Saccharomyces cerevisiae S288C: one gene and its partners. Changing the gene in region 3 together with the main gene of any one other region gives a genetic interaction. Each region holds a gene or a part of one and is shown on either strand. Other genes may lie near its edges. The genes, in order: FIN1, BIK1, ASE1 and KIP2.

Region 1 (7,228 bases), on a different chromosome or scaffold from region 3:
TGTTACCATCTACAATATCAGATCCTTCGATACCAACCAAAGAAAATCCTTTGGCTCTGCCCAAGTCGACTGCATAGTTGGTGTTTTCTAAGGCTTTGAATCTGGATATCTCTGCACCCGAGGCCGGTCTTTTGTTGACATGTTTAAAATCAACAGCACCGGGCATCACCTTTTCGTAAGCTTGCAATAATATCAAACCATCCTTCAAATCATCAAACAGCGAAATGACAGGTGGATCAACGTCAAGAGAGTTCAACCATAAGGTAAAGACTCTTGCCTCTCTCTCACCTTCGGCGTCAAATTCTTCAATTTCAGGCTTTTCCTCTTCCTGAATAGGCTCTAATCCAGGATGTGTATTGAATAGATGTGCCACGAAAGCCAGGTTTAATTTAGGGTTCCCCGCAACTAATGAACTTGGGGTTAAATACTTTCTACAATCTAGCTTTTCAGCATTTTGTAAAACTTGCTCAGCTCTCTCCATTAAATCTGTGGTTTGTAATGGTGCCTTAGAACACAAGGCGGGGTCCAACTGGTTCAACAAGATAGTATAGTTTTCACCATCAGACACGTCTTTTGAAAAATTGGTAACCCTTCTGTTCCAGTTTGCTTGCTTCAAATGGTAGTTAAACCAACGTAGTAGAATTTGCTCCGGAGGCAACCTCAAAAATTGCTCCAACGTTTCATCATCCTCCAATAGACGGTATAACTCAGGATGCAGCTTAATATCAATTTTACTTAACAAACCTCTCCTAATAATTTGCCAAATCAAACCCAGGATCAAATGCTCTCTACCTTCAATAATGTCCTCGGAATGAACATTAACAACGACACAACCAATGGCTTTTGCAGAATTAATAACAATATTAGCATTTTCACTAGCCTGAAAATTATTCAATTCCTTACCCTTCTTAGGCCAATTCAAAACTCTTGTATCGATAGTATCAGGAACAGAGTCGTTGATCAACTTAGATAGCACCAACCCATCCCTACATTCATCAAATAATTGGAAAGTATCAGTAGGAAATGGAAGCAAATCACCTATATCTTGGTCTCCCGCCAAGACGCTATTGATATGTTTAGTAAATTCACGTCTTTCTTCTTCATTGATGGTATGTGTAGTACCTGTTTGGGAGCCAGCAACAATAATCTTGGCTTGAGTACCCTTACCCTTGTGCTGTAGTCCTGTGGCAGCAGTGGAAACAATAGGGGTTGAGTTAGGTGCTACGTTGAAAGTGGTCTGTGGAGCAGCTCCTGTTTTAGATTCTCTTAATTTTGCAACCAACCCGACGTAATCGTCCAGTTCAACACGGCCTGACGCATCCACACCCACATGCTTCAGGGTTTCTCTTGCTTCGTCATAAGTAGCATCACCATCTTTGGACACCGCTTCTAGAGCTTGCTGTTTTTCAACCCATCCTTTATCATCTAAGTCAATGGCTCTGAACTTTTCAATTGTGGAAAAAAGATCCTCTTGAGTCAAAATTGGAAATTTTCTCTAATCGCAGAAGAGTTTGTTAGTATATGAAACGTTTATTACAACCTAAAAGGTAGAAAAAACTTTTTCACTGTGCTCAGCAGTGTGGGAATTCGAGAAAGGCATACATACTTGTAATTTGACAATATTCATTGTGTTTTGGTGTACTCCTTAGGGCTAATATATCAGCTTCTTCTCTGATAATTTTAGTGTAAAGAGCTTTCTTGTTCTCCTGAAATAACCAAAATTTATATCGATAAATCTTCATTATAAACTTCGCCCCGTACTTTTGATATTTTTCCGCCTCCCGAGGAGTGCTTTTTCACATGAAGGCCATCGGGAACAAGAAGAAAAGCCGTTCACGTAAGAAAATAGGACCCTATATCCGGTCAGGATCACTCAAGCTGTATGTAAATGTAATATAGACAAAGCACCTTTAACTGCTAAGAATTAATTATAGTGTCGGAAATATAACATAACTTGCTTACTTCCTGTGTAAAAAATGTGAGAAGGGATATGATTACTTATGTTTCGGTATTTCCGTGAGTTGAAGTTCGATATTGGATAATCTTGATTCAATCTCTCGCTGTCTTCTCAACATTTGTAGTAGCAAGTCCTTTATTTCTTTAAGTTCCACGGTTTCTTCAGTCACTATATTATCAGGTAGTTTAAATTTTACACTTTTCTGGAAACTAGCTTTGTGTATCTTACCTTCGTTCGCCAGCATGGAATTCAGTTTAGTGTTCGATTTAGTAAGGGATTCTATGCCATTTCCCACGTCTTCCTCTTCTTTCTTGAGTTCAACTAATAAATTCTTCCCTTTCAATTTAGCTCGAGGAAGGTCATTCTCAAATGGGGCGTCCTTGAGCTCAGTATTAGAACAGAGGTCAGTGTTGCTTTTGGCATCCGATGGGAGAATATGTTGCTGCTGTTGCTGCTGTATCCTTTCAGGTGACATGAGTCCATTCTTAAACCGGGCCCGTATTCTCGTTAACGAACCATCACCCCCGATTTTATTTTCATTACTGAATGTCAGTTTGGTTGGTGATGTAGGGAATATTATATTAGTTATATGATCTGAGTTTTGGATCTTCACATTTTTATTCGAATTTTTGAACTGAGGCCTATCCAGGCTTTGAGTTTCCTTAGAGACATAGCCCTTCAGACATTCCGGCGACATAATCCTTCTTGGTGTTACTTGTATACTATGCTTCATTCCATCTGTCTTGTTAGGTGATATCCTCATAGGTGGTTTCAAAAACTCTTTTTGGCTTGTCGTCCTCAAAGGGGACATACTCAATCTCACAAAGACATTGTCCTTGTCACTTGGTATATTATTTCGACCAATCGTATTCCCTATGTCACGTAAACTCCTGCGGTTGCTTTTATTGCTCATAATTTGTTTTATTGAACTATGTCACATCACTGCAATCCAGTGAGAACACTGAGAAAGCTCTAACTAGACTATACAATCCATTTGTTTTGATTTCCTCTTGTTGACAATTTGCAGTATTTAGAGTATATATCATTATGTACGTGTTATAACCGCCATGTCTCACAGTATCAACTAAATAGAGCTTCTGCGTCCACCAATTCATAAACAGAGTTGCTTTTATAGCCATTATTATAGAAGAGGGGAACCGCGCATCGTTGTAACTCGTCCACTTGTATTATTTTTGTAGGTATACCGTTGATGGTTAGATATTCTAAGTTCGGCAAACTTTGCTCAAAAACTTTAAATACGTCTTTTAGATAATGAAGGTATAAGTGGTACAAACTAATGGCATCTTCTCTAGTAATTTTATTCACTGTAATATTCTCAGTATTTTCTATGGTGCTTTGCAGATTTTCATTGAACTTTCGTACAAACGTTTCAATAGGTACAGAATCCCATCCCATCGCAGGTGATTCGTTGTCAATAATGTTTGTATAGGGCATGATCTTGTTCTCGAAAAACATTTGGTAAAAGAAATTATGGGCTTGGAACTTATTTGGGTTCTTTAAAAGTTTTGACCGGGTTTCAGGAAAGATTTTTTTTAGAATGACCTCGTGAATTGTATTTTTGCAAGTTGAACAAGGGCAGAAACCATCGAAATTCAAGCGAGTTAGTGGGTTATCTGTCATGGGAAAAAAAAGCCTGTGATTTAGTTGGCAGTGTATGTCAAAACGCTGTAATTTTTTGCCACACACTTGTTTAGATAAGAAGTTAATCAACGACACATCGAAGTCAAATTTACCCATGTAATCAAGTTTCAGTATCTTTAAATTGTGAAACACAGCCAAACAATTCATTAGAAAAAATTCGCTGTAAACCAATGACGCTAATGATAGTTTCTCAATGTTCGGAAATTTCCAAAATCCTTCTAGCCCCCATTTGACATATAACCTGTCAAAACCACCTTCTTCGCCAGAGGGAAAATCGTCGCGACTGTACCAAGACAAAATCTCTAGCTGCCTTAAGGTGGAAGCATCAAATATGTCGATGTATTCTAGCTCTTTTAAGAAGTCATCGGAAGCGTCGTACTCCGCAAGGTTAAGTGTGTCGGGTCGCAAATTTAATACCAATGCTTTGATCTTCATAGGAGACCCGGTATTTTTGAAGTACTTCAATGCGTTTATATGAATGGAAAGTTTTTCTAATCGAGATAGATCGCACTTCAAGAGCAACCGATCAATTTTATTCAAATAAGAACCGCTTACACTGTTATGGGTGGGCATTAACGTTGGTGGCGTTAATGTTAGAGTTTTTAATTGCTTTGATAAAGGTTCTAGCCCCTTGTTAACTGATGAGCGAACAAATTGATCGACAAATTTCAAATTGGATCCATACTCGGATAGCAATTTAAGTACATTTGTCATCACATCTTCATTTAAATGCCATGTACAACGTATTCGATTAATTAAGGGACATAATCTTTTCGGTGACTCTGCTAATGTTCTTTCGAAATAACTAAATTTCACTTTAGCTAGTCTTCTATTCGACATGTCGTTTTTAGTATTGGAATCATCTTCATCTATGTAGTGAAAGTTTAGGACAGACCAATAACAGGTTCCAAATGAGTTATCATAGTCACCATTGATGTGATAGGTTTCATTAAGAAATAAATTCTGGTAGATGAAAGGTATAATTGATTCATAGGATCTTTTGCATACATATGTTAACGAAATTTTATCTTCCTGCGGAATTCTCCAGGCAATTTGTTTAAAAATCTCATAAGGTAACTTATCAAACATTTTTCGGGCCCTTTCAAATTGGCAGTAGGGTTATTTTTATCTATTTTAAGACACCAAAGTTTCTTCTTTTTGCACACATTATCCTACTATTTTCTCTACGTTACTTTATCTCTGGTTTTAAGAGGTGTCTGTATCCTAATTCCCGAAGTCGATTTTTTTCTTACATATTAACTGATAAATAACAAGAGAAAAGAGACAAGAGCCTACAAAAAGTAAGAAAAGAAGCTACTACAGGAATGTGAGTTACAATGGGTTTCCGTTATACTTCAAGTACTATAATGGCATATAAAAAATACAACGGAGAGCATACATATACTTAAAAGCTTGGCAGAAGAGTAATTTTATCAAGCTAATCCTACAGATATTCATATCCCTTGTAGTATTCCTTAGTTCCGTTAAATGCTATAGCTTTAATAGCTATCAGCATAATATTGCCATCTTTCACGGCCAGTTTCCAGAGAGACTTTCTTAAGTAAAGCTTTAAACCAGAACAAAATCTAAGGTCAAGTGGATCAGACACGTCAATGACCCTGTCATTGAATTTATTTTTATCAGTTAGCAAAGTTTGAACTTGAGAAATCTTAATGCCGTTTATGTCCAAATCACAGAGATATATGCATGCTGGAAGTAAATAATGAGTTTCAATTTTCGTCTGCGTACTATCGGATGGGAACCGATACTGGTAATTTTTCAACTTAGGCGCACCAGAGGGTGTATTTGGCAAATGACTTCCAAATAAGGCCTCAAACTTATAGGCGGATTCTCCAGTTATGTCTACATGGATACTTTGGCTTTCCTTATTGAGGATTATCGTACAATCAGTCGAATTTATTTGAAATATCAACTCTCTCGGATGCTTATCTAAAAAAGGTCTCTTATAACAAAGCATATTCCAGGAATCGTTATATTTTTCAGTCATGTCAAGTTTAATCTTTTTATTTGCTGGCTGTTCACGGGTTTTTGATAGCGAGTCGCATTCATTTATGCTACAGAAATCGTCTTCAAAGTAGGGCGAGGTTGAAAATGCAGAAGAAGCTGGAAAAGTGATGCCTTTTTTTGACAAATCCTTCAATAGGAGGCAAATCTCTTCTTTCCTTGTTATTGGGTTATAGCTAATATGAGATTTGATTAGCCGCTGTTCGAGATTTAAAAGCCTGTAATAACGGCACTCTTTTATCAAGGCATTTCTTTTATTATCATCTAGATCGATGGATGCTCCTCCCAGTAACGTCAGCAAATCTTTGAAGTACTCAGAAGATCTTGGAATGTAAGGAGCAGAATGAGATGGAGGCCTTAATAGTTTTTTAGATATTATCAGCTCTTCCACATCGATATAAACTGTAGCCGCATATATTTCGAAATAATTTGGGGAATCTCCTTCTCTTCTAAATAAATTTTTCGCTATCTTGAATGATTGTCCACCAATGTTGGTAAAATAATAGTCCGTTTCTTTCAGTAAAGATCGCAATCGCGGTAAATTGTAGTACATCGCATCTGCGAAAAGCATGGTATATTGTACTTCATCCTTAATCTCAATTATATATCCTTGCAAATGTTGATAGATCCATTCAAAAACTTCGGCTGATCTGTCTATGAATAGAACCTCATTTTTATTAGATTCCATGGTATCGTTATTACTGTCATCGTTATTGGAAGGAGAGCGCTTCTTAGAAAAATATTCGGTGAAGAAACTAGGACCATCCGAGCTTAAAGAAGCACCGCTGATTTTGAATAATGATTTCCCCACCTGAATCTTATACATTTTCTCGTGTGGGAGTATTTGAGGAATATTCGGATCGAAATATTCTTGTGACAAAGTTGCTACTGTTGGAGAATTTGACATTTTCTATATGATTATATTGGGAACTTTCTTTGTTGGTAATATTTACGAGTGCCACAGACCGGTCTTTAATTCGCTATCTTTCGTTAGATTATGGTATATAACATTCACACATAAGATATACATTTTTTTCACTGCTCAGACTATTCAATTTTATTCGAGAGGAGAATCCATTAGAATTTTGACTTAGTAAGCAATTGCGGCTTACATGATTTTCCAAGAAGTTCAGTCGCCCGTGCAACAAAGACAAAAGCAAGCTAAGAAAAATGCCAGCTCAGTGGTCCGGATAAAATCTTAAAAGGATACGTTTGTAAAAGAAGCAATGATAAGCCGGCCAGATCGTAATAATGAATCACTAATATAAAACTATTATATTTCAGAAAAGAGGAAACCGAGATAGACTCATCGTCCGCTTATTATGTAAGATATTGAATCCATGTTCTTGATTAGCGTAAACCGACTGGGCAAACAAAAAAACATTATTTTTGAATTAACGAACCTTAAACAACCTATATTAAGATATATGATAAAAATACAATGCAACCAGTATATATAAAAAAAGTTTAGTTGCGTGTAACCTAAGAGATATTAACTTTATATTAATATTATTATAATAAACATTTAGTTATGGAGTGTTGCCTCCTAGAATTAGAATAAGAAATTACCAGAATATCTTATTA
Region 2 (7,425 bases), on a different chromosome or scaffold from region 3:
ATTCATTCAAGACTGTATTTTGTTTGATATATATATGTATATATACATATTATTTTCGTTAGTGTTCGGTTTCCAAGTTAGAAATAATCTACTGGAAATCCTTTGGGATCAACCCAAGCTTACTCATTCTGATTTTCACAGCGTTTCTGTGACCGTCTAGACCCTCCTTCTTGGCAACGCACATAACAGCTCTACCGATGTTTTCTAAACCTTCAGGGGTAATGTTTTGGGCAGTGATAAACTTTTGGAAGGTTGCAGTGTTGGCACCACTGTACTGCCTAGCGTAACCATAGGTTGGTAATGTATGGTTAGTACCACTTGAATAGTCACCGCACGATTCTGGAGTGTAAGCACCCACAAATACGGACCCTGCATTGTCAACCAATTTAACATAATCGTTAGCATTGGCGATTTGTAGAATCAAATGTTCTGGTGCATATTGGTTGGACATTTCAAGGGCTTCTTCGTAACCGTCACAAAGAACGATCGTACTGTGAGCAATACATTTACGAACAATATCCACACGTGGCAGTTGTAAAGCTTGATTGTGGACAGCATCTTGAATCTCTTGAATTTTCTTTTCGCTCAAGTTAACACCAACAAGGATAACTTGGGAGTCAATACCGTGTTCAGCTTGCGATAGCAAATCACTTGCAACAAAATCCACATCGGCATCTTCATCGGCAATAACCAAAACTTCACTTGGGCCAGCTGGCATATCAATGGAACATAGAGCTTGAGTGTCATTTTGAACATACATTTTGGCGGCAGTCACAAATTGATTACCTGGACCCAAGATCTTATCCACTTTAGGAATAGTTTCTGTCCCGTAAGCCATAGCAGCAACGGCTTGGGCACCACCAGCTAGAACAATCTTGGAAGCGCCAACTTTTTCTGCGACATAAACAACTTCGGGTGAAACTTTACCATCAGATTTTCTTGGTGGAGATGCAAACACAATCTCCTTACATTGGGCAACTTGTGCTGGAACACCAAGCATTAATGCAGTACTTGGTAAAATGGCAGTGCCACCAGGGATATACAAACCAACTTTTTCAATAGGACGAGGGAATCTGGAACACAAGACACCAGGTTGGGTTTCAACTTCAAGAGTCTCTGTTGGCAATTGAGCAGCATGGAATTTGCGGACGTTTTCAATTGAAAGGTCCAAAGCTTCCTTCATTTCCTCGGTTAAACCTTCAAAGTATTCTTCTGGGAATGGAGCATTAAGAACAGGATTGGATAATTTTACACCATCAAACTTTTCTGTGTACTCCAAAAGGGCAGAGTTACCTTTGTCTCTAACATTTTCGATGATCGGATTGACTAAATGCATAATTTCAGAAGTCTTTTGGATTGGTCTGCTCAAAGCCTTCTGCACACCAACTTTGTCGGAAGCCTTCACCACGTCCAAGTGAATTGGACCGGTCAGTTTTTCTTCTTCAGCCTTTGGTTGTCCAACAAACTTTGGCTTAGCATCACCTTTCCGTCTTGTAACCTTCAGATGCTTCATATTCAGATTATTCTCGACGTCCTTCAATGAAACATCGTTGGCCACTAATTTGGCCAGTGCAAAGTAGAACAAATCGGCAGCCTCCCAAGAAAGCTCCTTCTTACCCTTTGCCTCAGTCAGTTCTTCAGCTTCTTCCTTGATCTTGGCATCTAACAATGCAGAGTCGTTGAATAGTCTTCTAGTATAAGATTCCTCTGGAGCGTCCTGTAGCCTTTGTTTTAGTAAAGATTCTAGCCCCACCAAACCATGCTTGAATTCACCAAAGCAAGACATGGTCTCCAAGTGGCAAAATCCAACGTTTTCTTGTTCAACGATAAACTTTAAGGCATCCGAATCACAGTCAGTAGAGATTTGTAAAAGCTTTTGGCCATTGCCAGAAGTTTCACCCTTGATCCAGATTTCATTCCTAGAACGAGAATAATAAACGCCACGACCCAAATCGATGGCCTTTGCTATAGATTTCTTCGAAGAATACACCAACCCTAGACAACGCTCATATTGGTCGACAACTAGGGTGGTATATAAACCGTCAGGACGGTCTGTACGTACTTCACCAAGCACTTCTTTGGTCAACATATCCTTGCTTAATTTCTTTATGGACACAATTTTATCTTGCGAGAATTTTTGTTTTACCATGAATTGATTGGAGAAAACACCGTTCTCTTCCACAACAACACGCTCCTTTGGTACATTCAATTGTTCAACCAAGTGTTCGGCTGTTTTAGCATCTTGGCTAGCAATGAACAGAGAAGAAACTCCGTTGTTCAAGAAGGCAATGATTTCATCATCGCTGAATTTACCACTTGGCAAGGACAAAGCCACCAATGGAACTTCTTCCTCTTTGGAGAACTGGAGAATCTCTTCATTACTCAGGCTCGAGCCATCCAAAAGTACCTGACCAACAAGTGAAACGTATTCCTTCTTACTATTCCATGAGGCCAGATCATCAATTAACGGTAGAATCGGCAAAACCATTATTCAGAAAAAAAATTTTGTAAACTATTGTATTACTATTACACAGCGCAGTTGTGCTATGATATTTTTATGTATGTACAACACACATCGGAGGTGAATATAACGTTCCATATCTATTATATACACAGTATACTACTGTTCATAGTCATATCCTTTTCTTACCTTCTATATCGAATGACTGATAAAAAAACGTGAGTCACTGTGCATGGGTTTAGCAATTAATTAACTAATTTACCGGAGTCACTATTAGAGTCAGTTCGACTGCCTAGAAGAACTGCTGGTTGTCAGGATTGTGATGGGGGCATTCTGCTGTATTATGACCCATCGTATCGCAATGCTCACACCACTGTTGTCTTCCTGCCGTGGTATCGACTGGTGCAGGGGGGTCGAAAATTGGCAACGATTCCACGGCTGTTTGTGCTTGAGCCTGTTCCAACTGTTTGATTTTTTCATTAGCCTCTTCAAGTTTTTTCGTTAAGGATGCCACCTCTTCCGATGAGGAATCTTGTGGTTTTGTCAAAAATAGTTCCTTGCTCAAATTTTGGTATTCTTTACTGAGCGAATCGTTATGCATTTTCAATTGTTCGCGTTCTTTAGCCCACTTTGTCTTGTGTAACTCAAATTGGTCTTCTATGTTGCGTAATTGTTCCAGCTGTTTTTTCAGGAGTTCGACATCTTCGTTGGCACCAGTGGGTTGATTATGAGAAAGATTTCTCTCTTCGTTTTCTTTGATCTCTTCGTGTAGTTGGCTTACGACAGCAAGTAGCTGTTCATTCTCAGCGTCAAAAAACTGCTTTTGTTTGGCTTGCTGTCTGCGTTCGAGCTCCAATTGTTGCTTGAGATGGTCTATCTCTTTCTCTCTTTCTTGTATTGTGGCTTCATACCTATCAAAAGTCGGTTGCACTTCTTCGAGGACCATTCTTTGGTCATCGAGTAGCCTTTTGTAGTGTAGTTGTTTCCTTTGTAGCTTTTCGATGGTCAATTGGGCTTCTCGTAATTCAATTGTAACTTCGCTGCTATTGAGGTCATTCATGTGGCCATTGTCCGGTTTCCAATCGCTGGTGGTGTTGTGATTAGCCTTTCTGTCTGATGACAGGATAGAGTCGACCTCCATTCTGTCTTCTCTGTTATCGTAACCAAATTCTTGCTGTTGATGGTGATCCGATGCCTCCTGGTCCATCGACTGTTGATTACCGCTGTGCCGACTGGTGATCCGGAAACTTCTCATGGGTGTGGGGGATTTAGGATCATCCATGGGAGAGAACTGGTTAGTGAGCCTCACAATAGATCTGTTTTTGGGTATTGATAGCGGTTCCATTGTCGTTCTTCTCGAGGTTTGCGATATCGATGCCTTCTCGATCAATGATGCGACTTTTTGCAACTGAATAAATAGTCCACTTTGAGGATACTCCGTTTGAAAATACTTCTTCCCCATGAATGATCCATCGTTCTTACCAATGTTGGCAAGTAAGTCTACACCAGCAAACATTCCAGCTTTCGTGTCCACTGGACCCACGTATTTCAGTTGTCCGCGCCCCAAATTTGGGATTTGTATGAAACATCCTATCTTTCTTTGATATCTATCCATGGTATTTCAAACGCATACACAGCCAGCCACAGCTCAACGCCTTTTACCTTGTCCTTTGATGCCTGTCTCGTCCAAACGTTTTTGGTGTCTTGGCCAATTGCCCTTCTGAAAAATCTCACTGTCCGCAACTCATTAAAAGATACCCAAGCAAGCTACACGATAAAGAAAGGAGAAAGTTCATTAAAAGAACGTACATATAGCGATACAAACGTATAGCAAAGATCTGAAATGGATACGGATAAGTTAATCTCAGAGGCTGAGTCTCATTTTTCTCAAGGAAACCATGCAGAAGCTGTTGCGAAGTTGACATCCGCAGCTCAGTCGAACCCCAATGACGAGCAAATGTCAACTATTGAATCATTAATTCAAAAAATCGCAGGATACGTCATGGACAACCGTAGTGGTGGTAGTGACGCCTCGCAAGATCGTGCTGCTGGTGGTGGTTCATCTTTTATGAACACTTTAATGGCAGACTCTAAGGGTTCTTCCCAAACGCAACTAGGAAAACTAGCTTTGTTAGCCACAGTGATGACACACTCATCAAATAAAGGTTCTTCTAACAGAGGGTTTGACGTAGGGACTGTCATGTCAATGCTAAGTGGTTCTGGCGGCGGGAGCCAAAGTATGGGTGCTTCCGGCCTGGCTGCCTTGGCTTCTCAATTCTTTAAGTCAGGTAACAATTCCCAAGGTCAGGGACAAGGTCAAGGTCAAGGTCAAGGTCAAGGACAAGGTCAAGGTCAAGGTTCTTTTACTGCTTTGGCGTCTTTGGCTTCATCTTTCATGAATTCCAACAACAATAATCAGCAAGGTCAAAATCAAAGCTCCGGTGGTTCCTCCTTTGGAGCACTGGCTTCTATGGCAAGCTCTTTTATGCATTCCAATAATAATCAGAACTCCAACAATAGTCAACAGGGCTATAACCAATCCTATCAAAACGGTAACCAAAATAGTCAAGGTTACAATAATCAACAGTACCAAGGTGGCAACGGTGGTTACCAACAACAACAGGGACAATCTGGTGGTGCTTTTTCCTCATTGGCCTCCATGGCTCAATCTTACTTAGGTGGTGGACAAACTCAATCCAACCAACAGCAATACAATCAACAAGGCCAAAACAACCAGCAGCAATACCAGCAACAAGGCCAAAACTATCAGCATCAACAACAGGGTCAGCAGCAGCAACAAGGCCACTCCAGTTCATTCTCAGCTTTGGCTTCCATGGCAAGTTCCTACCTGGGCAATAACTCCAATTCAAATTCGAGTTATGGGGGCCAGCAACAGGCTAATGAGTATGGTAGACCGCAACAGAATGGTCAACAGCAATCCAATGAGTACGGAAGACCGCAATACGGCGGAAACCAGAACTCCAATGGACAGCACGAATCCTTCAATTTTTCTGGCAACTTTTCTCAACAGAACAATAACGGCAACCAGAACCGCTACTGAACGATGATTCAGTTCGCCTTCTATCCTTTGTTTACGTATTTGTTTATATATATAACTTTATTTTTTTTTATTAATTGGGCTGCAAGACAATTTTGTTGTCAGTGATGCCTCAATCCTTCTTTTGCTTCCATATTTACCATGTGGACCCTTTCAAAACAGAGTTGTATCTCTGCAGGATGCCCTTTTTGACGTATTGAATGGCATAATTGCACTGTCACTTTTCGCGCTGTCTCATTTTGGTGCGATGATGAAACAAACATGAAACGTCTGTAATTTGAAACAAATAACGTAATTCTCGGGATTGGTTTTATTTAAATGACAATGTAAGAGTGGCTTTGTAAGGTATGTGTTGCTCTTAAAATATTTGGATACGACATCCTTTATCTTTTTTCCTTTAAGAGCAGGATATAAGCCATCAAGTTTCTGAAAATCAAAATGGTAGCAACAATAATGCAGACGACAACAACTGTGCTGACGACAGTCGCCGCAATGTCTACTACCTTAGCATCAAATTACATATCTTCGCAAGCTAGTTCCTCGACGAGTGTAACAACAGTAACGACAATAGCGACATCAATACGCTCTACACCGTCTAATCTACTCTTTTCTAATGTGGCGGCTCAGCCAAAATCATCTTCAGCAAGCACAATTGGGCTTTCAATCGGACTTCCCATCGGAATATTCTGTTTCGGATTACTTATCCTTTTGTGTTATTTCTACCTTAAAAGGAATTCGGTGTCCATTTCAAATCCACCCATGTCAGCTACGATTCCAAGGGAAGAGGAATATTGTCGCCGCACTAATTGGTTCTCACGGTTATTTTGGCAGAGTAAGTGTGAGGATCAGAATTCATATTCTAATCGTGATATTGAGAAGTATAACGACACCCAGTGGACCTCGGGTGATAACATGTCTTCAAAAATACAGTACAAAATTTCCAAACCCATAATACCGCAGCATATACTGACACCTAAGAAAACGGTGAAGAACCCATATGCTTGGTCTGGTAAAAACATTTCGTTAGACCCCAAAGTGAACGAAATGGAGGAAGAGAAAGTTGTGGATGCATTCCTGTATACTAAACCACCGAATATTGTCCATATTGAATCCAGCATGCCCTCGTATAATGATTTACCTTCTCAAAAAACGGTGTCCTCAAAGAAAACTGCGTTAAAAACGAGTGAGAAATGGAGTTACGAATCTCCACTATCTCGATGGTTCTTGAGGGGTTCTACATACTTTAAGGATTATGGCTTATCAAAGACCTCTTTAAAGACCCCAACTGGGGCTCCACAACTGAAGCAAATGAAAATGCTCTCCCGGATAAGTAAGGGTTACTTCAATGAGTCAGATATAATGCCTGACGAACGATCGCCCATCTTGGAGTATAATAACACGCCTCTGGATGCAAATGACAGTGTGAATAACTTGGGTAATACCACGCCAGATTCACAAATCACATCTTATCGCAACAATAACATCGATCTAATCACGGCAAGACCCCATTCAGTGATATACGGTACTACTGCACAACAAACTTTGGAAACCAACTTCAATGATCATCATGACTGCAATAAAAGCACTGAGAAACACGAGTTGATAATACCCACCCCATCAAAACCACTAAAGAAAAGGAAAAAAAGAAGACAAAGTAAAATGTATCAGCATTTACAACATTTGTCACGTTCTAAACCATTGCCGCTTACTCCAAACTCCAAATATAATGGGGAGGCTAGCGTCCAATTAGGGAAGACATATACAGTTATTCAGGATTACGAGCCTAGATTGACAGACGAAATAAGAATCTCGCTGGGTGAAAAAGTTAAAATTCTGGCCACTCATACCGATGGATGGTGTCTGGTAGAAAAGTGTAATACACAAAAGGGTTCTATTCACGTCAGTG
Region 3 (8,890 bases):
TGAAATTCATTAGATTTAGATTCATCTGCAACGCTACATTTTGGACGGCAAAATCGCCAGTCGCCAATGCCACCTGATTCTCTGGTCGATTCAATGCGACATGGCGATCCTCTTCGGACGCTTCTACACCCAATGAACCAGTGGTATCTTCACCACTATCCTTAATAATTGCTTCTGTTAAGTTCTCGGGGGTAATCCAATCACCATCATCATCAGCATCCTCGAATACTTCATTTAAATCGGAAGATTCCTTTATATTTTCATCATTACATATCTGCTCTTTGGATCCAGCCTCCTCAACATGTTCCTCAGCTTTACTCTCTAGCTCAAGGTTTGCATTTTCAGCTTCTCTTGCTTCTCTTGCTTCTCTTTTTGCCTTTTGCTTTTTTCCACCTCTTCTCTTGTTCTTTTTTTTTGGAACACTTTCAGAGTCCTCCTCCTTTTTATTATCTTCTGTGAGCTTCTGTTTGCCGTCCGTACCAACGTCAGCCTTGGACGCATCTAATGCATCACCTGGTTTTTTCCTCAGTCTCCAATCGCCATTATTTAGTTTAATTTCTAACTCGTATGTCAAAGCAAGAATATGCAAATCATTGGCACTCAGTACGGAGTAGTCACCGGTCAATTTGGCGAACGTACTTACTTTGGCTATCGAGTTTTCACTTGGATGTACTAATTTCAAAGTTCCGAGGCTCTGCCAAATTTCAAGGTTTTTCCTTGCTTGAGCATCCTTAATTTCTTGAAAAACTGTGGGAGTAGTATAAAAAGACTGTGCATAATTCTGGTAATGTGTGTAGGACTGCGTAATTAATGGGGTGGCATCCAATATCAACGCCCTTACATGTGCGGTTTGGTTTTCGGTCATATTATGCTCCTTTAAAGAAACTTTAGAAAAATACTGAACTATGATCGCCGATGAGATTTATCTAGCGCTGACTGAACGACCTCTATGTTAAGAACATACTTGAGATAATGGTGCTGTTTCTCCATGTAGACTTCTTCTTAGCAGGTAAAAATTTGCCAATGCAAAACAAAGCTCATCGAAAAATTTTGATCTTGCATTATGGAATGTCCGGGTTTTTCTATTGAGACATTCAAATTTTGAATTCTTCTTCAATAGAACCAGGCTCAGCACAGATACAAGAGAAATGATAGTAGATAATACCGCCATAGTGCTTATGCATCATCTGCTAATTCTTTTAAGAATGATCTTCTCAGTCTTACACTGACGAGCACTATATTGATGACTTTGATCACTATAAACGAAGCCAATATAAGCACTTTAGGGTGTAAGGTCTCAAGATGAGTTGATCATATGCGATATATCTTTGAACGCTAATAATTGAACGAAAGCACTATGACAAAGTAATGGCAGAAGTCTTTTAAGGTTAAAGAGGTAGTTGTTTTAAGGAAACGAAAAAGAAATGCCTGTTGAAAAAGATTTAAAAACTGCCTACAAAGCTTTGTATGATGAGAAGGAACCACTGAAGGCCCTCCATCTTTATGATGAAATTCTCAAAGGCTCACCCACAAATTTAACGGCTCTCATTTTTAAGGCAGCATGTCTTGAAAAGCTATACTTTGGGTTTTCTGATTGGCACAGCGATGCAACTATGGAAAACGCAAAGGAACTTCTTGACAAGGCTCTAATGACAGCTGAGGGTAGGGGCGATAGATCGAAGATTGGTCTTGTTAACTTTCGTTATTTTGTTCATTTCTTCAATATCAAAGATTATGAACTGGCCCAATCTTATTTTAAAAAAGCCAAGAATCTTGGTTACGTTGATGACACTTTGCCTTTATGGGAAGATCGTCTGGAGACAAAATTGAATAAAAAAAATAAAAAGCAGAAGGATTCAACTAATAAGCATACAATTAAACCAGTGGAAAGTATTGAAAACAGAGGAGATAATAATTCTTCTCATAGTCCCATTTCACCTCTCAAAATTGAAACCGCTCCTCAAGAATCCCCTAAATTTAAAATCGATTGGTATCAATCCAGCACCTCTGTCACTATATCATTATTTACTGTTAATCTTCCTGAGTCTAAGGAACAAGTCAATATATATATTTCTCCAAACGATAGAAGAACTTTATCGATATCGTACCAAGTACCGAAATCTGGATCTGAATTTCAATACAACGCTAAGCTTTCGCATGAGGTGGATCCAAAAGCAGTGTCATTAAAAATTTTCCCAAAAAAGCTGGAAATTACCTTGAGCAAAATTGATAGCACGCAATGGAAGAAGTTGGAAGAAGATATTTTAACGGAATCCTCAAGGTTATCAGATGAGGGTAAAAATTCTGATTCTGCAACCCGCTTATTATCAGCAGAAACGGCATCAAAAGAGAGATTGTCTTATCCATCGTCCTCTAAAAAAAAAATAGATTGGTCTAAACTTGACATTGATGAAGAAGCTGATGAAGAAGCGGGATCGGCTGATAGTTTCTTTCAAAAGCTTTACGCTGGAGCGGATCCAGATACCAAAAGGGCTATGATGAAATCCTTTATAGAAAGTAATGGTACTGCATTGAGTACAGACTGGGAAGACGTATCTAAGGGAACGGTTAAAACTTCACCACCAGAAGGCATGGAACCTAAACATTGGTAAATGATTAGTATATACCTACACAATTACAATATGTAGATATATAGTATGGTAGTAATGTTACATTTTCGATTTAGACTAGCCAACCTGCGTATTTACTTGGAATGCTTACATGATTATATTGAATATTACAAATTTTATTATGTCCATATTAATCCAGAGTCACGGTGCAATGGAAAAAGGAAAGGGAGAATGATAGAATAAAAGAAGGAAAGAAAGAGACAATGTAGCGAAGGCTAGAAAGTGATGTGAAAAAAAAAACCACAAAAAAAATAAATAAGAGATCAGAGGGTTAAATGAATGCGCTTTTAAGAAATTCAAATATCTGTAAAGGAGAATCCATTCAATTTCGAAACTTGCTCATTTTTCCATGTAATAAAATCCTTATCATTTTCATCTTCCATCATACTGGTATCATCAAATCCGCTTTCAATATCTTTTTGTTGAATGTTTAATTGAAATTTACCTTCTGGCGACATGGAAAGTTTATATATGCTGTGCTCAGGTTCTTTATAAGGACTGCTCAATTTTTGTGCGTAATCTTCTAATGAGCTTTTGCGTTCCGGGCTTCGTACATTCTCCTTACCCGTGGTGCCAGTCGACCTTTTAAGAAGTTCTAAAGCCTTTTCTTTAGTTAATTGAGGGATATGACTACCCTTAGTGTCGACTTTGTTCAGCGGGATAGGAAACAATTGGCGTGGTTTTACTGCATGTTCGCCATGCGTATGATTTATCCTAGGCGATGATGAAAGATCGGATGATCTGTTTCTGTTTAAGGTAGGTCTCTCTATATTCCCTTTGGAATTCCTAGATATTACTGTGGGTGCTAGTAATCTTGTTGCTCTTCTGTTCGGACTAGATAACTTCGTTGTTCCTTGCATATGACGAGCAAGCGAGTTCTCTTGGGATAGATCATTCTTTGTTAAGCCTTGTATTGTTTTCTTTGAAGGCGTTTTATAAGTAATGTTGGCATCATTTAAATTCAAACCAATCGGTACCCTGATGGAACTTTCTGTGGCCTTGAAAGTGTTTTTTATGACTTTATTCTCTTTGTTCGCACCACATTTTCCCTTTTTAGATCTCTGCATTCTAACTCTACATCTTGGATATTTTGCTTCGATTTCCTGTTGCTGAATGTCAATTGCTTCTGAAAGTGGCTTACCTTTGAACAAAAAAGGTTGATCAAATAGACCATCGGCCTCTTCTAATTTAATTCTTAAATCATTGATGACTCGAGGAAAGTGTCTTGTTATCCTTTTCCTCATTTTTTCTTCAGTTAGTAATATCTTATGAGAATTTCTAGACAAAAGCCGTGAAGAGTCTTTTGAACTTCTTTCCAAAAATTCTTGATCTTCTTGTAAAGATTCAAAATCTGATATTAATTTTAAAATTGGCTTATAAAGGGTCAGTTTTTCTTCTAGTCTTTTTAGCTCATTTTCGCAAGTTTCTAGAAGAAGCTCATCTTCCTGTAAAGTTGTTGCACTGTTCCTTAGTTCTTCAAATACAATGATGAATTTAGACCGACTTTCTTCTGAATACTGTAACGTACGCCACAATTCCTGAATTTTGTCCCAGGAATCTGATATAAGTTTTTTTATTAGTTTTTTTTTCATTGCTTCAAGTCGCATAACTTCTTTAGAGATTCTACCTAAGGACTCGGTTGATAAACTTGAATTGTTACGCATAAAAGTCTTTATGTATTCTTGAGAAATTTTTAGCCTTGTCCAAAGTTTTTGGCATTGTTCCATCAGGAGCCTCTTTTTGTCTGCTCTTTCCTTATGGATAGCTTGCAGTTTTTCCAATGTAATATCAATTTTAGACATTCTTTCTCTGTCTACCGGGTGGAAATTTGGTATTTCTGATGTGGAGTTTTCCTCTTCTCCATATGATCTTAGATCTTGTTCAAAATCTTCACCGATTAACGTTGCTAGGGGAGTTCCAAGTTGTTCACATATTGATGAAATACTAACCTTTTTTGTGAGTACGCTTTTAAACCTCCTCTCGTATTCTTCCTCGTAAATTTTTATGACTTCATTCATGTGTTTCACAGATTCTTCGTTAATAGTTTTAAATGCCGATCCCTTTAAAATATCTTTTCTATTATCTATAATAAATTTCATGGACAAACCAATATCGCCTTTACCATTTTCTATTTGTAACAAATATGCGGTTAATGTGCTTAATTCTGGAAACTCGGCGATAGCCTCGTTATCTGCTTCTGTCAATCCAGGAAGGTTTTCTTTTACAGATTGTATGAGGTGTTTTAGAGTGATTAAGGATTTTAAATAGTCGCGGAGCCTGGGTAAAAAACTTCCTAGGACAAATTTTTTTGCTGTATCTAATGCTGCTTTTTTGCTTAGTAAGGAAAGTGGCTTTTTCGGTGACTGTGGCACAGTTTTACTTTCTTGCAGTAGAATAGCATTTCTAATGTATAAGTCAGGAATAGTCTTTATGCCACTTGGGTCATTTATTCTCTCTAGAATGTTATTTAGAATATCCTGTTCAATTCCGTTCTCTGCGGACAGTCTTTTCAATTCTTCGTCAGCTTGCTCAAAAAATTGTTTTATGGAATTAGATATAGTGGTGAATATGATTTTCTCCTTGGTGATAATTTCCGTATTAGAATACCCAATATTTTGATATATGACATTGAGATTCTCCAGTAATTTCTCTAGATCCTTTGAAATAAGAATGAAATTTTCTCTATACATATTATCCATTGTGTTACCTTTACCATTTTCTGAGTCTAAAAAATGGTAATTAGTGGACACGTTTTTCAAAGGAGAACCAAAATCTCTAATACGAACTGGGGTCAACTTCATAAACTCTTTAGAATTTGATTGATTTACCATGGTCGACACAGTCAACGGTGTTGCTAAAGAAGGGTTCATATGCGGTATAACTGTAGTAGACCCAGAATTTTCGCTGTTTCTCCTCGATTTAATGGGCAAAGGGGAAGAAGTTGCTGTCTCCATTTCAACATCAAAAGTAGTGAATCCAAAATGAAACCTTTGAATTCTAATGCCAGAATGCTATATCTGATGATTAAAAATAGCCTATTAAAATGCTCTAATTAGTCCTTAAAATAATTATTCTCGGTAATAGCCGTTTGTTCGTATCTTTGCTATTGTTCTGTGAAAAAACCAGGTATTCGACTTTAATAATATTTTTGTATTTGTTTCCTCTTAAAGATTCTCAAGCTTATTTACCTTTTACCTCATTGGGAAATATTAGATGACGAAAGAAAATCACACTGTACGATTTTCTGGGCGGTTATTTAGTGAAATTAAATAATAACGTAGATATGGCAGACAGACTTATTGTTTATAGGCAGTTCTTTACAATTGTAACTATAAAAAGTGGCTATACTAGGAAAGAAAGTTTTTAAAGATGATTTGTTTTTTCTATCTTAAATCTCATATATTTATTTTTATTCACTTCTGAGAAATACAAGTTGCATGTCTCAAAACTTTTACTTTTCAACAAAATATTAATCAAAAAAAATAAATGAAAAAAGAAGACCATATTGAAGAACATTTAAAATCCTTTGTTTGAAATAGAGATCAAATATCTTGTATTAGCTGGTTTTAAATCAGTAGTATATTGCTATGTATGGTTTGATAAGATGATACAGATTGTTAGACGAAATTATTATCATAATGTTATCTATATTATGGAATGCCAACAATCATCAGCAAATACGTAAATATGACAATGGAAATGAACAAAGAAAAGAAGAAGAGAAAAATATAATACTATGTAGAATTGTCGAGCTCCAAAGGATATTCTATCTTGTTATCCGTAACATAATCAGCAGGGCGATCTGTGCACTTGTTATGAACATATGACATTTTTATTTATTCCCTTCGTGTTATTGTACTCGTGTTTTTTATAAATTTTCCTTCCTCGTAGATGGCTTGAATACCAAGTAATATTTCTTCTACCACAGTATTACTGGCGTAAGCAACTGAATTCTCCGAAAAGTTTTTTAGATAAACTGCCAAGTTAGTCTGTCATTACCTTTATATCGTCTTCCTTTAATCTGTAGGTCAGAGTGTTCACTGCTTCAAATAAATCTGCAGATATTCTTCCATTATATTCAAGGTTCAATATTCTTCATGCTTTATAGAGAACAGTTTGAAAATTGCTGCAATTGATTTCTAAAGTTTTCTTGAACCAAATTGGCAACAAATGAAACGGAACAAACGTTTGAAATGTTTTGTACAAATATGAATGCTCTTCGTACGATAGTGGTCGCAGAATTCACCCTGTTCATTAGAATGAATGTTGCCTGTGGGTTGGAATTTTTCAAAACTTGATGTAGAATTTAGTCCAAGTAGAAGTATTCTTCCCCCACAGAATGTGTGGCGGTGAAAAATTGCGAGACGTGATTGGTGTATCAAAAAACATACGAGATTGTTGGGTTAGTATACTGTTTCAACTACGTGAAGGGCTTCTCAATGGTGATATATACTATAAAATTGTTGGTTGAGTATCTGATTGAAAATACATCGACGACATTATAGTCGGGCGTCCTAAAAATGACCAACTAGATGGCTTGGCTTGATTCGGAGTGATTATATCGCTATAAGTACGGTCCATTCTGTGACGACAGTAATTGAGCAGATACGATGATGATGATTCTCTGGAGCAGCTGATAAAACAGGTGTATTATCCGTTGAAAGTTGGCGTTGCTGGAAACCTTATCATATGAGGTTTGCAAATTGGAAACGTGTGACGAATTTGATTTGTGTACGCTTCCCTAGAAGTAACCAAATCATAGGCTCTACCATGAGGTAATGAATGATTATTATTGGGCTTCTACCGTTGCTAAAGGCTATAATATTAGATACACAAAATATATGAAAGTTCCCCTCGAGAATTGAAATCCACCAAAAGAGTATCCATATCTCTTTCTAATAATATTGATATTCTTCTTCTGTTCTTTATGATAATAGTCATTATATTATTACATTATATATCCTTGCAATCCAGCTCCCATTAAATCTGATGACTGTTTCTCATCTTTAGGGTTATCTTTTTACGCCGCATATGATACTATATTAATAATATGAATGCTAGTCGATAAATAATACTTGATTCCTATTCCAACATACTCTATCCAAAATTATTTCCTTTATAAAAATTATACCTCAACATTTATCAAATAGTTTAGCAATGTATCCTTTTCGGTAGTTAATTACTTTAAATAACCTAAGTTAAATACCCACTATCTATAGAAATCTTTATTTAGGACGCTCCGAAGAACTCATCCTTGTTAGCTCAGTTGGTAGAGCGTTCGGCTTTTAAGCGCATTTGCTTAAGCAAGGATACCGAAATGTCAGGGGTTCGAGCCCCCTATGAGGAGTTCTTTATTTTTGTCAGTAACTATTCGGGTACCATCCTCTTCTTTTCTTTTTCCCCCACTATAAAACGAGTCTATCAATTCCCTTCAAGCATTAGTGGTAGTAATACATTTTAATCACATGAGAGTGTTCATTCAAAAATATATACTATTTCGTGTAAATCAAGTGCTCAATTACTCTTGTGCATCAAGTATGCTAGTAATTGGGCCGTAAATTCGATACAAGCAATCCCAGTAGCAGCTGTATTCTCGTCCATTCCTCTACGTGCCACAATCACGCCATGCGCATTTACAGCCTTTATGTATATTGGAACTCTAATCCATTTCAATTTGTTTAGATTTCTCAAAATAACCTTTCGGTTTTCATCAAAAGGCAGTTTTTTAAATTTAGATTTCCAAACACCATCATTTATAGTTGTGTATTTTTGGATAAATTCCTTCCAAGGAAGCTCTTCTTCGTTTACAAGATTACTATTACTTGCTTCATAGTTCGCATCCATATCTAAAGCCGAATTTATGATGGACCCGTATGCATCTGTAACATAGCCTTTCAGTTGCTCCGTCAATCCTAATTTTCCTCTGACCTCATTGTGAAGAATGCCATTAGAGAGCATTTTGCGGTACTTGCAAGTAACAATATAACTATAAGCGGTTCCCAGGCCATTCATAACCAGGGCTATTGGGAGAATTAAGAATGTTGCAACTAGTATAATAAGAATAGTGCGTCCCCACTTTTTATAAGTCTTGGTCGGTTTAGTAGGAGCATGGCTGTTAACGTTTAAAGCGTTTAGGTCGACAATCTTAGGCAATATTCCTTTATAGCCAGATCCCGGAATCTTTTCTTCGAATGTATATTTCAATTTGTTGTCAAAATCTATAAATGGGTCGCAATCCGTAATAAACGCCGTATAGAAGG
Region 4 (8,312 bases), on a different chromosome or scaffold from region 3:
TTGCCTGCTTCCTGGCAAATTTTGTTAAGGCATGCATGCCAAATGCCGAAAGAATACTGGATGTTTTCTGTGGTGGGGGCGGGAACACCATACAATTTGCCATGCAATTTCCTTACGTCTATGGAGTGGACTACAGTATTGAACACATATATTGTACTGCGAAAAACGCCCAAAGCTACGGTGTGGACGACAGAATATGGCTGAAGCGGGGATCCTGGAAAAAGCTAGTCTCTAAGCAGAAACTTTCCAAAATAAAGTACGACTGTGTATTTGGATCACCCCCGTGGGGTGGTCCAGAATACTTAAGAAACGATGTGTATGACTTAGAGCAACATCTAAAGCCTATGGGGATTACCAAGATGTTGAAAAGTTTTCTTAAACTAAGCCCTAATGTGATTATGTTTTTGCCAAGGAACTCTGATTTGAACCAGCTTTCTCGAGCTACGAGGAAAGTACTAGGTCCATTTGCCAAATGTAAAGTATTATATGTAAAGGAGAATGGATATATGAAAGGAATATTTTGCATGTGGGGGGAATGCTTTTTTAACTACGAACCAGCAAGTACGGAGAATAGTCGAAGGGAGTCGTCCGAAAAGGAAGAGCTGAGTTCTGAAAACGAAGAGCTCTCGAAAAGAAAAAAGCATGAATCCACAACAACGACCAAAGATAATACTGTAGACATTTACGACGTAAATGGTTAAACACTTGTTCAAGTTGAATCGTATGATAGAAAATGCAATGACTATGTTATGAATGTATATATAGCACATAAAGAGGATCGCTTACGTGAATTTGGGAATAATTAAAACGTTCTTTTAGCTGCGGCTGCTCGTCGATAGGAGTGATAACAAATTAAGAATTAGAAGGGATGTCTTTTTTTTCTACCAGCAAGTTGCCACGCGCTTCAGACTTTAGAAGAGGTAGTAGCAATCCCTTCGAATGAGGTTCGATTATATCTCTCACCATTCCACGATTTATCACGGAAATACCATTCAAAAATAAATAAGGCGACTGAATGGATTCCAAGGCAGCACTAGTATCGATATTTAGTTTATTTTGTTTGATATACTTTTCTAATTCATAGCCATGAGAGTGTTTTTCCAAATCAACAGTGGCCAATTCGGGTGAAATCTCAAATTCTCTTTGTAATAGATTTTTTAAGAAAATGGAGTCTGCTTGTGATGATTTAATGAATAATACCGCTGGAGAGGTTCTTATTATATCTAGAAAATCTGTTCTAGGGTCGAATTTTTTGTGATCGCAGTTTTTCTGCAAGGCCAGAGAAGATGACCGTGGATTTAGTGTTGTTGTGGTCGTCGCCGTCACGACATTATCAGTTTGGAACGATCTTGAAGAAAATTTTGATGTAGCTTTGGATGAGGGTTCTGGGATGTCGACTTCAACCTCGCTTTGAATATTTGAAATTTCTTCTTTGACTTTTTGGAAATTTAGTTCATTTTCATTACTTAGAAAACTGTCTGCTGTCTTTAATAAGTTTGGCAACTTGTAAACGAACTTCTTTTCACTTTCTTCCTCACTATTTTTTTTGTTTTCGCTAGGGTCAGCAGAGTTGTAGAATTCCAAGGAGTCATTCCATGTAAGTAGTAAGAAGCTAAATACGCCAAGCAAAACGAGTGTTAGCGATATTATTCTCGTACTTCTCTTGATTGCTGTGTGCTTTTTCAAAACTGATGAATCCGCTATCATCTTTAACTGTTATTTTCCTTTTTTTAATTGCTCTTTACTGTTCTTGGAACAAGAGATTATGAAGTCTATAAAAGAACATATATATAAGTATTTAAGAGATAAGCCTGATTCAAAGACGTTTGCAAGTTTCAGTCACTTGGCCTTAACAATCTTTATATATTAATCCCTTTAGTACCTGCACAATTAAGGCCGAGACAGACTCGAAACAACCCCAAAACTTCTTGATCTTTATTAGCTGATGCCAAATTTTTTGGTACCACACTGAAACGAACTTCGTAAATCCATTATTTGTGTATTTTCTTAACGAGAAGTGCCTAAAAACTGCCTTTTATGCGCTGTCTTCTGAGAATAGATCCCGTTCAAGGCAAGCGCCGGGCAAGCGGAGGCGCAGTCTACAGAACAATCCGCACAAGGAAAAAAGCACCCGAGATCTGGGACCCTCACCTAATCATTTATCGTTATCCACGACAGGGTGCGGTGATTGCTGTGTATTAATGAGTGGTTTCAAAGCCCTATCCCGCAGTCGTTTGGCACTCTGCAGGGCCTCAATCATTTTATCCTTCCTCTCGAGCATCTTCTGTAATTCGATCACTTCAGTGCCGTCACACCCAGTTAGCGACATTGCAGTATGACCACTTTTTTCTAGCGCCATGATCTTGTCTTCAAGTTTTTGAGTGTATTTCCTATATTGCCTTATTTGTGATTCCAAACCTTGGAACTTTGTTTCCAAAAGGGTGCCGACCTCAAAGGGAAGCATTTCTACAATTTCCATAATCTCAGAATCTTGCAAATCAACCACATCTTTATCTAGTAGTTTTTCACAATTCTCTAGTTTATATTTTAATACTCGATTCTCCGCTCTCATTAGAGCCAAATTCGGATCACCATCATTGCCGGTGGCTTTAATGTCTTTATAAGTACTTTCATTGGAAGATTTGGTTAAGGGCTCGCCAATGTTTGAACGGTTCTTCAATTCAGAGATCATCCTACGTTGTTCTTCCAATTGGCGTCTCAGTAGCTCAATGGTGCGATCTTTATCTCCATCGTTATTCCCGTTACTGATGATGGATTTTTTGGATACATGAAGTGCGACGTTTTTCGCTCTTGATGCAAACCTCAGCGTATTCATAGTTTCCGCTGCCGCATCATTTCTGGTGTCGACTGTACATATCGTTGTCACTATGCTGTCACCGCTTAGTGCCGGCTGCAATAATCTAGTCAATTTAGAATCACGATATGGAATGTGGTTGCTTGGGCTAGTGCCGTTATTGGTAGCATTTCCACTACTGCTGCTACTGCCACTTGCAGATGGCGAGGGAATGTTTGAGCCTACTGAGTTCATCTTGTCGGCACTGAGTTTGGATATCACAGTCCCCAAAGCAAGTAAGGATTTGTTGATGAATGAACCTTCCTTTCTCCTCTCTTGTTGCCCCGTAGCCCTTTCCGAACCTGCTAGGTCACACAACGACAATGTACTCGATCTTGAGGTGCCGTTCTTTACGTTAGTACTTGTTAAACGAATCAGTACAATGGCATGAGATCGTGAGCTTCTTGCATTGTAGTCAGTTTCGCCAATTTTCCTACTTTTGTCACCAACTGCAATCCACCTCAATAATTCTTCACTACTTTCACATCTTCTTTCGGTGAGACCGATAACTTTGACCCCATACTGAGAGTCATCTCTGATTTTTAATTCTACGCCCAATCCATTGCTGTTGCTCTTGCTCATATATAACCTTGAAGGAGTACTGATTCTACTACCGGATTCTTCTAATCCGCTTTCTAACAGGTCGTAAATCCTTTCATTGTAAATTTCGAGGTACGATATTATAACGTCGAACTTTTTATCGCCATTCATTGATTGTTCCATGATATTGGTAAATAAATACGACACAGATAAAGGAATTAGGCCTAGCTCTTGTTCATTTCCGCTCATTGTAAACGTTTTACCTGACCCGGTCATACCGTACGCAAATATGGTGGCATTAAACCCCATCAATAACTTATCAATCATTGGTTTACTGGTTCTTTCATAAACTTCCAAATTAGTGCAATGGGAAGCAAAAACATGATCGAACTTGAACTCTCCAATTTCTTCATGCACTATTGTTTTGTCATTAGTAATAAACCAGGGGTCTCTAACAAATGTATTGCTACCGTGATGTGAGTTGGATCTTGGTTGAGAGTACCTGGGCGATTTTAGCCCCACATGGTCACGGGAAGTTCCAACGCTCCGTGGTTTCGGCCGGATGGTCACAGTGATTGACCCAGTATATGTATCGTTTTTTCTCGAGTTGTTGTTAATACTGTCGCTCCGCCTGATCCTTATCCTACCTGGGTGAAGGAAGGGATCGGATTTGGCTGATACGGATCTTAGTGGGGAGTTACTTCTAGTGGAAGATGCAGAAATCGACTGAGAACCCGAATTAGAGGTGCTCCGTATGGAGTTTCTTGTCAGATTAGAAAACGATGAAGTTGATCGTACAGAGGGCGATTGTGGGATATTACTTGAACCAGAACTAGACCTCGTTGATGGCCTCCTTAAGCTTGGGCTCATTTTTTGAATCATCAATGGTGGTATTATGGTAAGAATTTTATCAAGTGTTCTATGTTTGCCTTGATTTCAAATGTTTCTAGAGCGCAGCCTGTGAATCTCTGCAGCCTATTTCTTTTTATTTTTCGCTTCTGCTTACATTGCTTTATTATCAATTGTTCCGCTATTGGAAAAGGATAAACAAGGAAATTCTCGAGCCGCATCATCGGGCTACCCGCATATAATGACATTATGGGCAGCAGCATAGAACAATGGATTCTAAAACTGAGGACAAGATGGTTTGTCTTGTTTTTTTTTTTTAAATATACTATAGTTTTTTTTATTGTTATCTACTTATAAAAGCTCTCTAGATGGCAGAAAAGGATAGGGCGGAGAAGTAAGAAAAGTTTAGCTCAAATTGCTTTGGCCAAACCAACCGCATTGTTGCCCAAATCGTAAATAGAATAGTATTTACGCAAGAAGGCATCACCAACGATGGCCAGTGGGCCAACAGGTTCTGGGAAATCCATTGGTGTAATTGCAGAGATACAGGAGCCTGAAACTTCAAGCGTGTAATCGTATGGCCCAATAGTGAAGTTGTAGCCATTGAAGTTGAAAATTAGATCAGGTAGATTGTCTCTGGTGTTACAGTCTAGAGTATATTGACCGGTCCAACCCTTCTTGGCCCCAATTTCAGCATTAATCATTTCAGCTAATCCTGATGGCAAGGTAATCAAAGAAGTACCAGTATCGATGGCGGCACCATGGCTCTCCAATTCGGCGTACTCGTCGCCTAAACCGATACCTTCAAACTTGACTTCCCAGTAAGCCTTACGACGAACAGGTAACCAAGTGATATCGCCCTTGAACTTAGACTCGTCAATACCACCAAAGGTGGCTTCACCGCCATTTTCAGTATCCTTTGAAGTGTCTCCCAAATAAAAGGCAAATCTCTTTTCGTCCAACAAATCTTGTTGAATGGCGTTGTAAAATGGAGGGACCACCTTATCAACAGAAATGGTATCGTAACCCAAACCCAAAATACCATCGAACTTGCCAAATGCAAATGTTAAGCCCGGCTCGCTGGTAGCCTCAGCGAAGTCTTGTTTTGGAATGGTCAAATCCCCGATGGACAAAGTGTCTTGAGAAATGTAACCTTCCAAAGAACCAGTACCATATTGAATGGCAAATTCAGTACCATTAGCTTTGTAGCTTGATGAAGCTTCATGATCGTATTTAGAATGTAGGAAACAAGCCAAGGAACCACATTCGTTACTTGGAACCCAAAGGTTTGAAGAACCAGTATCCAAAATAACCTTGAAGTTTTGAGGTGGAGTACCCAAAGTAATGTCAGTGTAATATTGTGCGTTCAAGTAATTTGTCAATGGAACATCGTGACCACCTTCAGTGAAGAAAGGATGCTCCCTAGAAAAAACAACTTCGGGGTTAGCTTTCTCAAATTGAGTCAAGTACTTTTGGCCTAAATGAGCTAAATGTTGCTCGAAAGTGACTTCTTTCATCTCATCGGACAACTCGTGTTTATAAATTTTAGCCTTGTGGACTTTTGCAGCAACTTGGTTGGCGCTGACCAACAACAAGGCCAATGGCAATAATGCTTTCAAGCTGAACATGTTAGTTTTGGTTTTTGTTTGAATTTTATTTGGATTAAATACTAGGTCACTAGGCTTTTTTTTTTTCTTTTCTTATAGAATTCTAATAGAAAAAACTTTTTATGAATACAGTAGGGTGAGATATACTTTTTGTTATTCTTCCCTTACGTGGTAGGCTTCTCAAATAAAAATAGAAAAGACCACTAAAATTTGATTATAAAGGCTTCGCTCAAAAAAGAAGAAGGTGGAATGAATAAATAGCAGCGAATTACCCAAACTTCTTTACTCTGTTCCCTTAACCAGTTGATAAGAGGTTACGAAGTACGGAAGTATGGCTTTTTATATAAATCCTAAAAAGGGCCGCCTCCGCCCCTTAATCCATCGACACCCGCAAATGAAATATAGTACCCGGAAGGCATAAGACGGGTTACAGCCTCTCCATAGATTCAATAACCGCTTTTGGTTATAGAAATAATCAGACCTCAGCAAATACAATTGAGGAGCTCAAGATATTGAAAACGGATTAACAAACTTTTTAAAATTATTTATGAGCTTGTTGTACCACATCAAGCAGGATTATGTTTTTTTCAGAACTTCTTTTTCTGATTCAAAAATTCATTAAGCATAACTAAAACTGAAAATCAAAACTTATTAATATACAAAAATCTATATATTTCAAAATGTAAATCGTATCAAAACGTCACTCTATATGTAATAAAAACCCAAAAAGTTATGAATAGATGAATTCTGAGTATTGGTATCTACCATCTTCTCTCTTAAAAAGGGGCAGCATTTTCTATGGGTATTTGTCCTTGGTTACGAAAATTGCAAATTCTCGGGGCCTTTTGAGGTTTGGTCCAATTTTGCCCTTTTAACCTTCTTACTAGGATCAATTTGTGATTGCGATAAACTTACCGAATGTATTCTCTTCAAAATGTTCCCCGTATTCGCATTAATCGGTGACTCTACCAAGTCGTTTAGTACCGAATTATTGCCGTTATTATTTGTATCGCTAACTGGCGGCTTCTTAGCCGACATTGATGAAGAAGAAGCCGAGGGTTGATTTGCACGTTGAGCTGCCATCATCTGGGTTAACTTTTTCACCAAATCTTTTTCTTCGGCTGTTTGCTTAAGTACTACTCTTTGTTCTTGTAACATACCTAATCCCTCGTTAAACAGACCTGTAGTATCGTTAATTTCCACTTTAAAGCCAATGACAAATTTATTGTTTTTATCCCAAATGATCTTGATTTCATCTCCGTCTTGTAAAAGGAATTTCGTACCCTGTATCATGCGGTTATTATTTAAATAGCTCACGTTAGTTCCGGTGTGGCAATACCAAATATCATCTAAACCTTGTGCCGGAGATTCATACATGCTTTTGCCTACAGCATGCCTCTTTTTGAAAATGAAGCAATGAACTCGAGACAACCTATTGTCTTCAATTTTACAATTGCAATCCTCGGATCTACCAATGAAAAATGGATTCACACCTTGCTGAATCTCCAGGCTTTCTTGAATAATGCTGTCAGGCAATGGTTTTAAAGTTAAAAACCTACCATTACCCTTTTTCTTTGAGCTCTTGACATTCTCAGTATTATTGGAATGTAAAAGTTTTTGTTCTCTAGTTTCTGCTTCAATGCTTTTGGGCTGTGTATATCGAATAGGGGCGTGTGCGGGTATTTTAAATCCTTGAATTTTTCCATCTTGGTCTTCCTGATCCTGTTCTTGAAGTTGTTGCTCCATTTGTAATTTCCTTTGCGCTTTGACAAATTCGTATTGAGCATCGTCCATATTTTCTAATAATTTCTGCTGCGACAACGATTGTGATAAGGATATTTGTGAAAAATCACCATATGATTGTGAGCCCAATGGACTCATCTTGATCCAGGGATGATTCAAGGCTTTTGCAGCTGTCGACCTATTATTTGGATCCACCTGTAACAATGAATCTATGAAATCTCTTGCTTCTTCAGATATCCGGAAATCTTTGAGGGGCCCTTCATGATATGAGCCTCTTCCAATCTGTTTATATAATTGGTCCTGTGTGCTACCACTAAAAGGTAAGTGGCCCGTTAGGATAACATACACAAGACATCCCATTGACCACATATCCACTAACGAAGAGTACTCATTCCTTTCTTCGTATTCATCAGGAGATACGGATGTATCTTTACCTCTGATGACTTCAGGTGCCACATATGCCAAAGTGCCACAGAAGGTTTTCATAAAAGACCCATTTCCTTGTACTTTTGCCAGACCAAAGTCGGTTATCTTTACCAATACAGGATCGTCTTGTTCAATAAGAATATTATCGGGCTTTAGGTCACGATGGCTGATGCCCATAGAGTGAATGTATTTTATTGCTGTGAGTATCTGCCTGGATATCTCCCTCCCAGCATCTTCTCCAACCGCACCATGAGCAGCAACAAAATCCATTAAGTCACCACCAGAAACGAACT

Evidence for each region.
Region 1: mutations in ASE1 (region 3) and FIN1 together harm fitness more than expected from each alone (negative genetic interaction), as found in Saccharomyces cerevisiae (5 studies listed by BioGRID, with this or other methods).
Region 2: mutations in ASE1 (region 3) and BIK1 together harm fitness more than expected from each alone (negative genetic interaction), as found in Saccharomyces cerevisiae (5 studies listed by BioGRID, with this or other methods).
Region 4: mutations in ASE1 (region 3) and KIP2 together harm fitness more than expected from each alone (negative genetic interaction), as found in Saccharomyces cerevisiae (5 studies listed by BioGRID, with this or other methods).

Annotation. Positions count from the first base shown.
Region 1 is NC_001136.10:713,753-720,980, forward strand, and holds FIN1 (Fin1p), read right to left. Parts: upstream 2,871-7,228; coding exon 1,995-2,870; downstream 1-1,994. Other genes in the region: SAC6 (fimbrin), read right to left, coding at 1-1,495, 1,607-1,627; YDR131C (uncharacterized protein), read right to left, coding at 3,038-4,708; MRX16 (Mrx16p), read right to left, coding at 5,064-6,551. UniProt on the Saccharomyces cerevisiae protein: Forms cell-cycle specific filaments between the spindle pole bodies of dividing yeast cells.
Region 2 is NC_001135.5:65,846-73,270, forward strand, and holds BIK1 (Bik1p), read right to left. Parts: upstream 4,077-7,425; coding exon 2,754-4,076; downstream 1-2,753. Other genes in the region: HIS4 (trifunctional histidinol dehydrogenase/phosphoribosyl-AMP cyclohydrolase/phosphoribosyl-ATP diphosphatase), read right to left, coding at 89-2,488; prion domain-containing protein RNQ1, read left to right, coding at 4,305-5,522; FUS1 (Fus1p), read left to right, coding at 5,958-7,425. UniProt on the Saccharomyces cerevisiae protein: Required for nuclear fusion, chromosome disjunction, and nuclear segregation during mitosis. Probably required for the formation or stabilization of microtubules during mitosis and for spindle pole body fusion during conjugation.
Region 3 is NC_001147.6:430,762-439,651, forward strand, and holds ASE1 (Ase1p), read right to left. Parts: upstream 5,585-8,890; coding exon 2,927-5,584; downstream 1-2,926. Other genes in the region: NOB1 (rRNA-binding endoribonuclease), read right to left, coding at 1-865; co-chaperone SGT1, read left to right, coding at 1,425-2,612; LPL1 (putative hydrolase), read right to left, coding at 8,145-8,890. UniProt on the Saccharomyces cerevisiae protein: Required for anaphase spindle elongation.
Region 4 is NC_001148.4:255,061-263,372, forward strand, and holds KIP2 (Kip2p), read right to left. Parts: upstream 4,277-8,312; coding exon 2,156-4,276; downstream 1-2,155. Other genes in the region: TGS1 (RNA methyltransferase), read left to right, coding at 1-701; pheromone-regulated protein PRM4, read right to left, coding at 853-1,707; PEP4 (proteinase A), read right to left, coding at 4,654-5,871; serine/threonine/tyrosine protein kinase RAD53, read right to left, coding at 6,667-8,312. UniProt on the Saccharomyces cerevisiae protein: Required for assembly of the mitotic spindle.